Linked DNA regions of Schizosaccharomyces pombe. The protein of the gene in region 1 purifies or fractionates together with the protein of each later gene. This does not show direct contact. Each region holds a gene or a part of one and is shown on either strand. Other genes may lie near its edges. The genes, in order: rvb2 and tel2.

What was found.
Region 2: the proteins of rvb2 (region 1) and tel2 purify together in Schizosaccharomyces pombe (affinity purification with western blotting; 2 studies listed by BioGRID, with this or other methods). This does not show direct contact.

The regions. Positions count from the first base shown.
Region 1 is NC_003423.3:1,522,094-1,526,540, forward strand, and holds rvb2 (chaperone, AAA family ATPase Rvb2), read left to right. Parts: upstream 1-1,898; 5' UTR 1,899-1,913; coding exon 1,914-1,962; intron 1,963-2,063; coding exon 2,064-3,412; 3' UTR 3,413-3,599; downstream 3,600-4,447. Other genes in the region: Lid2 complex histone demethylase H3-K36 subunit Jmj3, read left to right, coding at 1-1,492; U5 snRNP complex subunit LIN1, read right to left, coding at 3,600-4,447. UniProt on the Schizosaccharomyces pombe protein: DNA helicase which participates in several chromatin remodeling complexes, including the SWR1 and the INO80 complexes.
Region 2 is NC_003424.3:4,732,821-4,738,315, forward strand, and holds tel2 (TTT co-chaperone complex LRR repeat subunit Tel2), read left to right. Parts: upstream 1-2,000; 5' UTR 2,001-2,041; coding exon 2,042-4,648; 3' UTR 4,649-4,778; downstream 4,779-5,495. Other genes in the region: SPOM_SPAC458.02C (mRNP complex protein), read right to left, coding at 1-508, 606-779, 900-995; dli1 (meiotic dynein intermediate light chain Dli1/Dil1), read right to left, coding at 4,785-5,327, 5,369-5,463. UniProt on the Schizosaccharomyces pombe protein: Component of the TORC1 and TORC2 complexes required for the regulation of the cellular respons to changes in available nutrients. Required for normal entry into S phase. Regulates activation of the DNA replication checkpoint.

The DNA.
Region 1 (4,447 bases):
TTGGCGTTGTTCAGATTTTTTGCTTCACCAGAATATTTTGTTTCCCCCTTCAACTCTAGTACAAAATGGTATTGTTACTTATTCAACAGTCCTTAAACAGGATGAACTGCTTATAACCTTTCCAGGCACACATCATAGTGCATTTTGTCTAGGAGACGCTGTTTTACGACGTTTTGTCTTTCGTTCACCAAGATCTGCTTCCAACTATGAATTTTCTAATTTACGAAGACTTATGGTTTCAGAATCCCTTTATTCCTCTAAATCTTTATGGCCACATTCGCATAAGCCTCAACGTGCTTGTTCTCAAAAGTTCCTGGATGAGTTTTACTTGCATGATTTACCCGAATCCAACATCCATGATAGTGGTAACTTTCATCCGATTCATTCAAGTGTTGATAATAATTCATTTTCTCAACGAGATTTTGACTCACCTAACTCTATTAATCCTCCATCTCCTTTAATGTCTAATCATGAGAGTGCATCTACTGAACACTTTAATTCTACTACAACTACCGAAAAGGAATTATCTTCCCTTCACGTGGGTGAAGAGCGCAAAAACCGATCGCTTCCTTTGTCACTGATTTGGAATTCTAAGGCACGTGAAGAGTATATAAAAAAACAGAAAGAAGAAAACGGTGATAACATAGAGTTTTCTCATTTTGATCCTTTATATACTCGTCCATCATCACATCCTTTGCATCCGCCTCCTATTTTAGGGCTTCCTGTTCCTGCACAGTTCGCTCGTGGAGAATTGTTTTTGGGGAGGATTCTCGAAGACAGGGTTAGTGAGCATATGTTGCTCCTCGAATGTGAAAAATCGGATGTAGTTGAGGTACCATATGAATGTATATTAACATCTTCTTCTGCTGCTGGTCGGCGGGAGAGTTCATATTATAATCCAGCCCTTAAAGCTCCTAATATCGTTTATGATGACGGTGTTCCTATTAACTGGAATGAATATTCAGAATTACCTTCACTTGATCGCTTCGTTTTACCCAAGTTGTTACCAGGAAAACCCATAGAATTCACTCCACCAATTTCAGTTGAACCAACCTCGATAAAGACTATTGCTGCTGAAGAATCTTCTGAACCGACTTCATCTGTTGACGTGGCACCAACTCCGGTAGAAGACGTCAACGTGAATTTAGAGTCGATCAGCAATACTAACGAATCTGTTGTTGACTTATCTGATCCTCTTGTAAGTAAAAATGGATTTGAAGATGTTGAACGGAGCTCGGTAGCAGATTTGGAAGAAGACGTTCTTGAAACTCGCTCCAGCATTTTTGAGACTTCTGACATTGACGATCGTTTAACAGTGATTGATCGTTCACAATCAGTTGTGCCTTCAGAATCTGAATTTTCTATTGCTGGCGCAAACCTTACTCGTCGAAACGCAGTGGATTTCTCAGTTTCACTAGATACGTATGAGCTTTATGTGAGTGATGAAGTCGAAAATGTCGATGATTTTTCTCTCTTTCCTTCCTTAGAATAAGGATATAAGAATTTGCATGTAAATGCATTTTTGCTGCATTATTGTATTTATGATTTAGTCGTTCGTTTTAAAAGTTTTTTGAATAATATTAAAAATTTACAATGTTTCAATCATATCGGTGACTAAATTAATTTTCAGCTTCGACATTGATTAGTGTAGCCATTAACCATGATAAAATACGCGCTACCTTTTTTAGTAACGCAGAATACTTGTATGACAAATGTGATTGTTTTTTGTAAAGAAGTTATTAAAGATACATTTAAGAACCAGTTTTAGTCAAAAATATTAATTATTTATCCTCAGTTTCTTACATAAGGAAAGTTAGCGATGGTTCATATGCTCTCAACCGCAACGCAAGGTAATGATTGCTATGTGAGAATGACTGTGCAGTCTTGAATAAAAAACCAAACACAACATAATCATGTCGATTTCGGTGACTTCTCATAATGATGTCTCCAAATTAGAAAGAAGTATGTTTTTAAAATAGAAATAGACCTCTAGCATATTTTGAAATTGGGGGGACTCAAATGCTTTAAAATTGAGTGAGTTAACTAATCTTTACTGTTTTTAGTCGGAGCACACTCCCATATTAAGGGAATAGGTCTCAATGATAATTTAGAGCCGAAGGAGTCAAGCCAAGGAATGGTAGGGCAAGTCAAGGCTCGCAGGGCTGCCGGTGTAATTCTCAAAATGATACAAGAAGGCAGGATAGCTGGAAGAGCCATATTGATGGCTGGACCCCCTTCAACTGGTAAAACTGCTATTGCAATGGGAATGGCTCAATCTTTAGGTAGTGACACACCATTTGTAACACTTTCTGCAAGTGAAGTGTACTCTTTGGAAATGTCGAAAACAGAAGCCCTGTTGCAAGCCTTGCGAAAAAGCATAGGTGTCCGTATTAAGGAGGAGACAGAAATTATTGAAGGAGAGGTTGTGGAAGTTCAAATTGATCGGTCTATTACTGGCGGTAATAAGCAAGGCAAGCTTACAATTCGCAGTACCGACATGGAAACGGTTTATGATTTAGGAACAAAGATGATTGATTCCCTCACAAAAGAAAAGGTTTTAGCTGGTGATGTTATTAGTATTGATAAGTCAGTGGGAAGAGTTACTAAGCTCGGTCGTTCATTCTCGAGGGCAAGGGATTATGATGCTATGGGAGCTGACACTCGGTTTGTTCAATGTCCTCAAGGAGAAATTCAAAAACGAAAGGAGGTAGTCCATACCGTCTCCTTACATGACATTGATGTTATTAATTCACGTACACAAGGATTCTTAGCTTTGTTCTCAGGTGATACTGGTGAGATTAAACCAGAAGTACGTGAACAAATTAACACCAAAGTTAGTGAGTGGAGAGAAGAAGGAAAAGCCGAAATAGTCCCTGGTGTACTTTTCGTTGATGAAGTTCATATGCTAGATATTGAGTGCTTTTCTTTTTTCAATCGCGCATTGGAAGATGACCTAGCTCCTATCGTTATTATGGCTTCTAATCGAGGAATTACTCGTATTCGAGGTACAAATTATCGTTCCCCTCATGGCATTCCAGTTGATTTGTTAGATCGTATGCTGATTATTTCTACATTGCCCTATTCCCATGAAGAGGTAAAAGAAATCTTGAAGATTCGCTGTCAAGAAGAAGATGTTGATATGGAGCCTTCAGCTTTAGATTACCTTTCCACTATTGGTCAGGAGACTAGTCTTCGCTACGCATTACTTCTTATATCTTCATCTAATCAGGTTGCTTTGAAGCGCAAAAGTGCTACGATTGAGGAGTCCGATATCCGACGTGTTTACGAATTATTTTTGGATCAAAAAAGAAGTGTTGAATATTTAGAGGAATACGGAAAGAATTACATAACCGAAAATGAGTGGTCGGCTTCAGGTGCACAAGATAATGCAGTTGCAATGCAGGAAGATTAAAAGCACTAAAGACGAATATTTTGTTATAGTTAAGAATATGAAAGTATTAAATAGCAAGTCTTTATAAAGGTTGCAAGACAAGTTTAATTTAGACTTATTTATCGAATTATAGTTTTCCGTTAATTCAAAGGTACAAGCTATAAGTTCTGTTATATAATGAAATAAAATAGTTTATTATCCACTTTGACTATTTCTTTAAAGAAACTACATCGCAAAAGCAGATATTGTTAGGATACATCCATTCATCCATATTTGCTAATTGTATAAATGCTGCATGCTTGGCATCCGTAAAATAACCTTCATTACTCCAAGCCTGTATTTGGCTTGCGGTATAAGGGCCGTACGTCTTATCGTCAAATTCCCACTTAAAGTTGTACTGTGAAGAATTTGAGTCGTCGTAACTAACAGGAGAAGACCATGAATTTGACGTGAGTTTTTGATAAATTCTTTGAAGAGATTCTCTAGTTTCCGAGTATATATCTTCCTTTCCAATTTTATCCTCTAGAAAAGTTAGACCAGCAGTTATAAGTTCTATTAATTTTTTCCGAAAAGCGTCAGCACTTTTCCTTTCAGGAGAAATGCCCTCTGCGGTATTATTTTTCTTTTTCTTATACGATTTTTTGTTACCACTTTGTCTCTGCAAAAATTCTAAAATACTTTCATCTCTCTCCATTCTTGCGATAAAAAACGATAACGCTTCAGGAACCGTGGAAAAAGGCAGTTTACTAAATTCTTCCAATTCTTGATTCCTTCTTCTGTTTTCCATTTCCTTACGCTTCTGCTCCGCTTCTCTGGCTGCTGCAATGCTTTTTTTATTAGAAACACTGCCATTGAGCCATGCATCATACTGAGACTCTGGGTCATAATTTTTTCGTATGAAATTACCATTTTCGTCAAAATCACCCTCCTCCATATCTTCTTTTAAGTTAAAGGACATTCGTTTTGGGCTTGAGGGAACTGATATCTCACTGCCTTCTTCATCCGCGTCGAGGTCGTTAGCCTGATTTGTATCTTCTTGGCCTTCTATATCTTCAT
Region 2 (5,495 bases), on another chromosome or scaffold:
TTTCACGCTCAAGACGAAACTGTTCTTGTCTTTTGGCACGTTGTTCACGTTCATAAGTACGGAATGCGCGCAATTGGGTATCGTACTCACGTTGTAAAGCTCTTCGTTGATTATATAGATCATCGAGTGCAGTCTTCTCATCATCTCTTTCTGCTATGAGCTTACGCTGATCTTTATAGTAACCGTCTTGTTGCTTACGAACCTCATCAAGCTCAGAACGGATTTCTACGAACTTGTCACTCAACTTCTTTGATTCTGAATCATTAAGTTGATCACGAAGCTCGTTAAGTTCATTTCTAATCGTATCAATACTAGTTTGAAGAGCGTTCAACTCAACGAAGCTCTTTCTAGTACGATTGCACTGAGAAATTTCACGCAGGTATTTCTTCTCATCAACAATCTTTAAAGTTCCTGAGTCAACGGCGGCTTGAAGTTGTTTAACATGTTTATCAAGCTCCACTTCTGACTTGAAAGGAACAGTTTTTTTCATGGCAGTCAACTCCTTAACCTAAAAGTATGTCAGTAAACATTTTGTTTCTTTACCAAGCTCATAAAGTTTTCCAACACAAAACTTTAGTGCTTACATATATTAATGCAAAACATACCTTCTTTTTCAAAAGTTCATCTTGAGCCTTGACTTTGTTGATGAGAGTTTGCTTAGAAGAACGGATAGCTGCTTGAGCATTGCGAATATTGTCTAATTCAGCGCGAAGTTCTGCATTCTTCTCCTGCAATGAACCACCACCGCGAATGGCACCAAGCTTCTCCTTATGCTCATTCTAGTTGATTAGTTAAGATGCGAAAACTATATAAGAAACAAGTGATTTTTTGAAGCTTTCATAGTTATGAAAAAAAAAAAAAGCTTAGCCTTCAATATTCAAGAATTTAAAACTACTTACGAAACGCTTTTTCGCCTCGTTGATCTTAGCATCAAGCTCCTCCAAAGCCTCCTTGTGAAGAGCTTCATTAGGACGAACGGGTTTATGAGATGACATTTTTATTAAGGATTTTGTTGTTGGTGGTGGATAGTGGTGTGTGTTGAGTTGTCGTTTAACGAGTATATAACAAGGCAGATAAACTCCGTTTGTTTTGCTTCCCTAGAGTTTTCGTTCGCAGTGCTGTGAAGGAGACTACCTGTTTCTGAAATTTTTATAAATAGCTTTTTGTTGACGGTTATTCAGACATCGTGTGAAGAGCAGTCTAAGGAAAAGATTACGATAATACATGTTATGATATTTTTTTTTTATTTATTTAAATAAACTGGTAGTTTTTTGCACTCGTCCACGTATTATGTTTAATATTTCAATTTAAAAATCCTGAATTGTAAATTTAGTGACCTTTATTTGCAATGTGTTGACTTGAACGAAACAAGAAAAATTAATGCATTTTTTCTCACGGATTAGCTTACCGATTAGCGGAGCATTAACATTTAATTTGGGAGGTACACAAAAACAGTTTTAAACTAAAAGTTACTTGCTTTTTAAAAGCAAATAGAAATATTGCAACTAGTCTTATAAAGCAACAGGATACTTCACTTATAGAAAGCGAATTTGAAAGCATAACTATCCATTCTTTTGTTACAACTATTGCATATAAGCACAAAATGTCTTTAAGTTAAATTATACATAATATCCTTTTTCTGTCACGTAAATTGTAAGTTCCTATTCAATTTCAGGCTGTGAAAAGTCCGTGAAAATAATACATCGAAGAGCTTTACAGGTTTCACAGAATATCCCGATGCTACCCATGTAATTGTTGCATACACCATTCTCAGGAAGTTTAAGAGCACAATTTAAAAAACTATATGAATTGAGTTCAAATTACCTTTATAGAATGAAAAACAATTAATAGAATTTAAAGTAATTTACATGGACAACAAATTAAAAATAACTATATACTTTGTAAAGAGTTTTGGTGTTGTTTTAGCCAAGCAGCCTATAATCCTGCATATTGCTGATTGCTGACCGGTGAATTAATCCACCGAAGGTTACTGTCTTCTCAACACCCCAAAATAATTCGGTTATTTTTCAACTCCAAGGATATGAAATCCTTTGCTAGCGAACTATCCAAACCTATTCAAAAGCCGCGTTTAAAAGAAATCCTTAAAGAACTGCAGCATATAGGTGTTCCTTCTCCTTGCAATCTAAGATTATATCATGAGTTAATTAGTGTGATAGTGCCCACATTCTGGAATGGGAAAATTAATTCAGAAATAGATTTTCTCCTTGCAAAATGTTTTTCTACTCTTTTGGGCTTAAAACTGCTATGTGTTCGACTAGATAATTTTGTTCAAGAGGCTAATTTGCAAAACATTCATCTTGTTACAGTTTATCTTGAGCTACTGGAAAAAGCATTTGAATGTATAGACCTTGACGATAACTGTAAATTGATATGGGAATCTACTGTATTATCTGATCATCAAAAGCAATCTTTGTGGACTGAATTTATTTTTTTCTTGGGAAACTTTAAAATTACTAATTCAATGTCTGCTGCAATGCTTACCTTCAAGGTTTACGATGATTCAAAACGTTTGAAGGCTTCATCAATGGCCGACTACATTGGCGTTTTATCTTCAAAATTGGCTTGCATTATATCTAAACCTGCTGTTAAAACCCCAGAAATATATTCAAAGCTATTCCATTATTTATTACACTCATCCAATTTAAAGGCATTCATTAACCCATTGATTCCATTAACACAAAAATTTTGTGTTCAGCTACAAAAATTATTTGCAGATTTGACGGTCTCTGATCAAATGTTGTTTCTCAATCAACTTCTTCTTGAACATAATACCAAATATCCCACCAATTTTTCATATTCCACCGCAAGAGATGATCGTATAACAGGTTCATTGGCTACATTATTAAGGCTGAACTTTTCATCCACTCACTTCCTTCGATTAATTGAATTTTATTGGGGCGTCCCTACAAATTTAATAATTAAAAGGGTAGAAGTAGTTTGTTCGAGTATATCTTATAAGGAATCTGATAAAAAGGAGCTAGAAAAAACAGTGGACTCTCTGTTTAATATATGGTCAAATGCGCAATTTTTGAGGAGCTATACGCTGCTAGCTCAAGAGAGCTTAACAATATATTTATTACTATTTATTCCGAAACTTGAAGCAAAATATTTGAATAATCTTTCCAAATCCCTAATGTTCTCCAATGCAATATCTTGCCGTTTAGATAGTCTAGATGATGATATTCGAATGCATGGAATGATAATGGCCGAAGTAATCTCTACATATTCGGGTGTCAGCTTAAGTAACCCGTTAGCCTTTGACGTTCCAATAATGAAGACTACGAAAGCAAAAGTTCTCAAATCGTTGAGCTCACTCAAGGATGAATTTTTGCCTATTGAAATTTTGAATGACGAAAGTGTTATCGCAGAGACTTCGATAGAAAAGGAAGAGACGAATGTAACTCACTTGGAGAAGCCAGTGATTTCTAAAAACGATGACTTAATAAGGGGAGATGACTTGGAGCCTTACGATTTTCCTGATATTGACAGTGAGGACACGGACGACGATCCAACTGTCTCTAGATCCAAGACGCATTCTCCTGTGTACGTACAAGATTTGTGCAAAATGTTAAAAGACACAGAAAGTTTTGAGAAACAACGTGTTGCACTGGAAAACGCTTCTAAGTTAATAAAACGAAAGTCTGCTTTTGGAACCGAATTACGAGATCATGCAGATGAATTGTTACAAACGTTAATTTCCTTACAAAATCGATTTGACTTAATGAACTTTGATGAAATGCAAATGACTGCTATAGTGGAACTTCTGTTAACCTGTTTAGATATATGTGGTCCTGTTATTTGTACAAATTTATTTGTTAGTGACTATTCAATGCGCCAAAAAATACTTATCTTATCTTGTATTTCTTTAGCTGCTAGCAAATTCAACGATGATGATAATGAACGTCTTTTTCCCAGCCAGTTACTTCCAGGAAATTTACACGATCAGTTTTATTCACCCACTATTGAAAAGATTAGTGATGAATTAGAAAGGAAATTAGTTTTTCCGGTAATGAGTGAATGCAAGGATTATGCGGAGGGACCGAAATTCTTACAGACACGGTATATTTCAAAGCAGTCGGAAATCGAGTCGAAAAAGCCACTCCCAAAGGCCAATCGATTATCGCTTAAGGTAGATAAATCATTGTTCCTGCTCCTCACCAGTGGTTATATGCTGGCATCTAGGAAAACGGCTTTTATTGAGCCTTTGTTTTTAGTCTACTATCTTAAGACATTGGGTATTCTCTTTTTTGAAACTTTTACCTCAAAGATAGAAGGGGCAAACAGAATGCTCCGGGAATATGTTGACGTTTTAAATGAGGTCTGCCGACTTCGATCAGACACTCCAGAAGTTAATGAAGGGCTTTTGTTTAGTTTTTTGGCTATCTTAGAAATATCTTCTGGGCGTACTTTAGCTAATGAGTTTGGGAAGCATTTGCTCTTCTTTGAGGCGTATACTAAGTTTCTTTTTGAAAGCCCTGATCAAGGTGAGAAAGTTAAGTCACTCTCAGCAGCTGTTTTAATTCTATTTGAAAATAAACTTTCAGAATTCAGAACGCTCGCATTGGAAAAATTACTGGATGACTCAGCTCCTTTGGTTCCAGAGCGATTTGGATTAGCCGGACTTTAATAGTTCTTTATGGTCATGATTTAAAAGAAAAAAAATATTATTTATGAGGTTGAAATTTTGACAGAAACTCATTAATGCATTTTAATTAAATAATATGATTTTGTAATAATAATGAATGTCTTTAGGCCAATTACAATTATTGAATTAAGTCCTTCCACAAACTTGATTTTATGGAGGATTTATTTAATTTGTTTGAAGAATACGTTTTAATCTCGCTATACTTGTTCTGTAGTTCTTGCAAAAAAACTTGGTGCGATTTGTAGGGTATATCTCCATCCGATATTTTTGAGGAATGACAGTTCAACATCGATATACTCTTATCAAATAAACCAAGTAATAAACTTATGTCAAGAGTATCGTAAAAATTTTTAGCGGTTTGTTTAAAAAGGGCGATATTAAATTCATGATTGACACTCTGTATTTTAGAGATAGTGTCCCAACAAGGAGGTATAAACATAGTTTCTGATTGAATTGTTTGAGCATGAAAATCTCGAGGTTTAAACTTTTGAAACATAAAATTATACTTCATTAAAACGTTGAGATTATTCCAGCTTGTTGGGTCCGCTGAGATAGAAACAATTGAGGACGTTGGTACGGATAAAAGTGTCGTTCGCAAAAACTGTAAAATAAATTCCTGTGAATTATCGACTGAGGTATGCAAGCCTAAAGCATGCTTCAACTACAAATTAGTAAATGTGCAAGTATTCAAGGGTATCTTACCTGTTTCAGAACAACCGTAAAGTTTAGTAGAATACCACTACTTATATCCAATGTTGTCGAGTTCTTATCCAGTAAAGCTACCAGTTTTTTGTTCTCTAAAGCAGATCAGTTAACAGGATAATTGAGT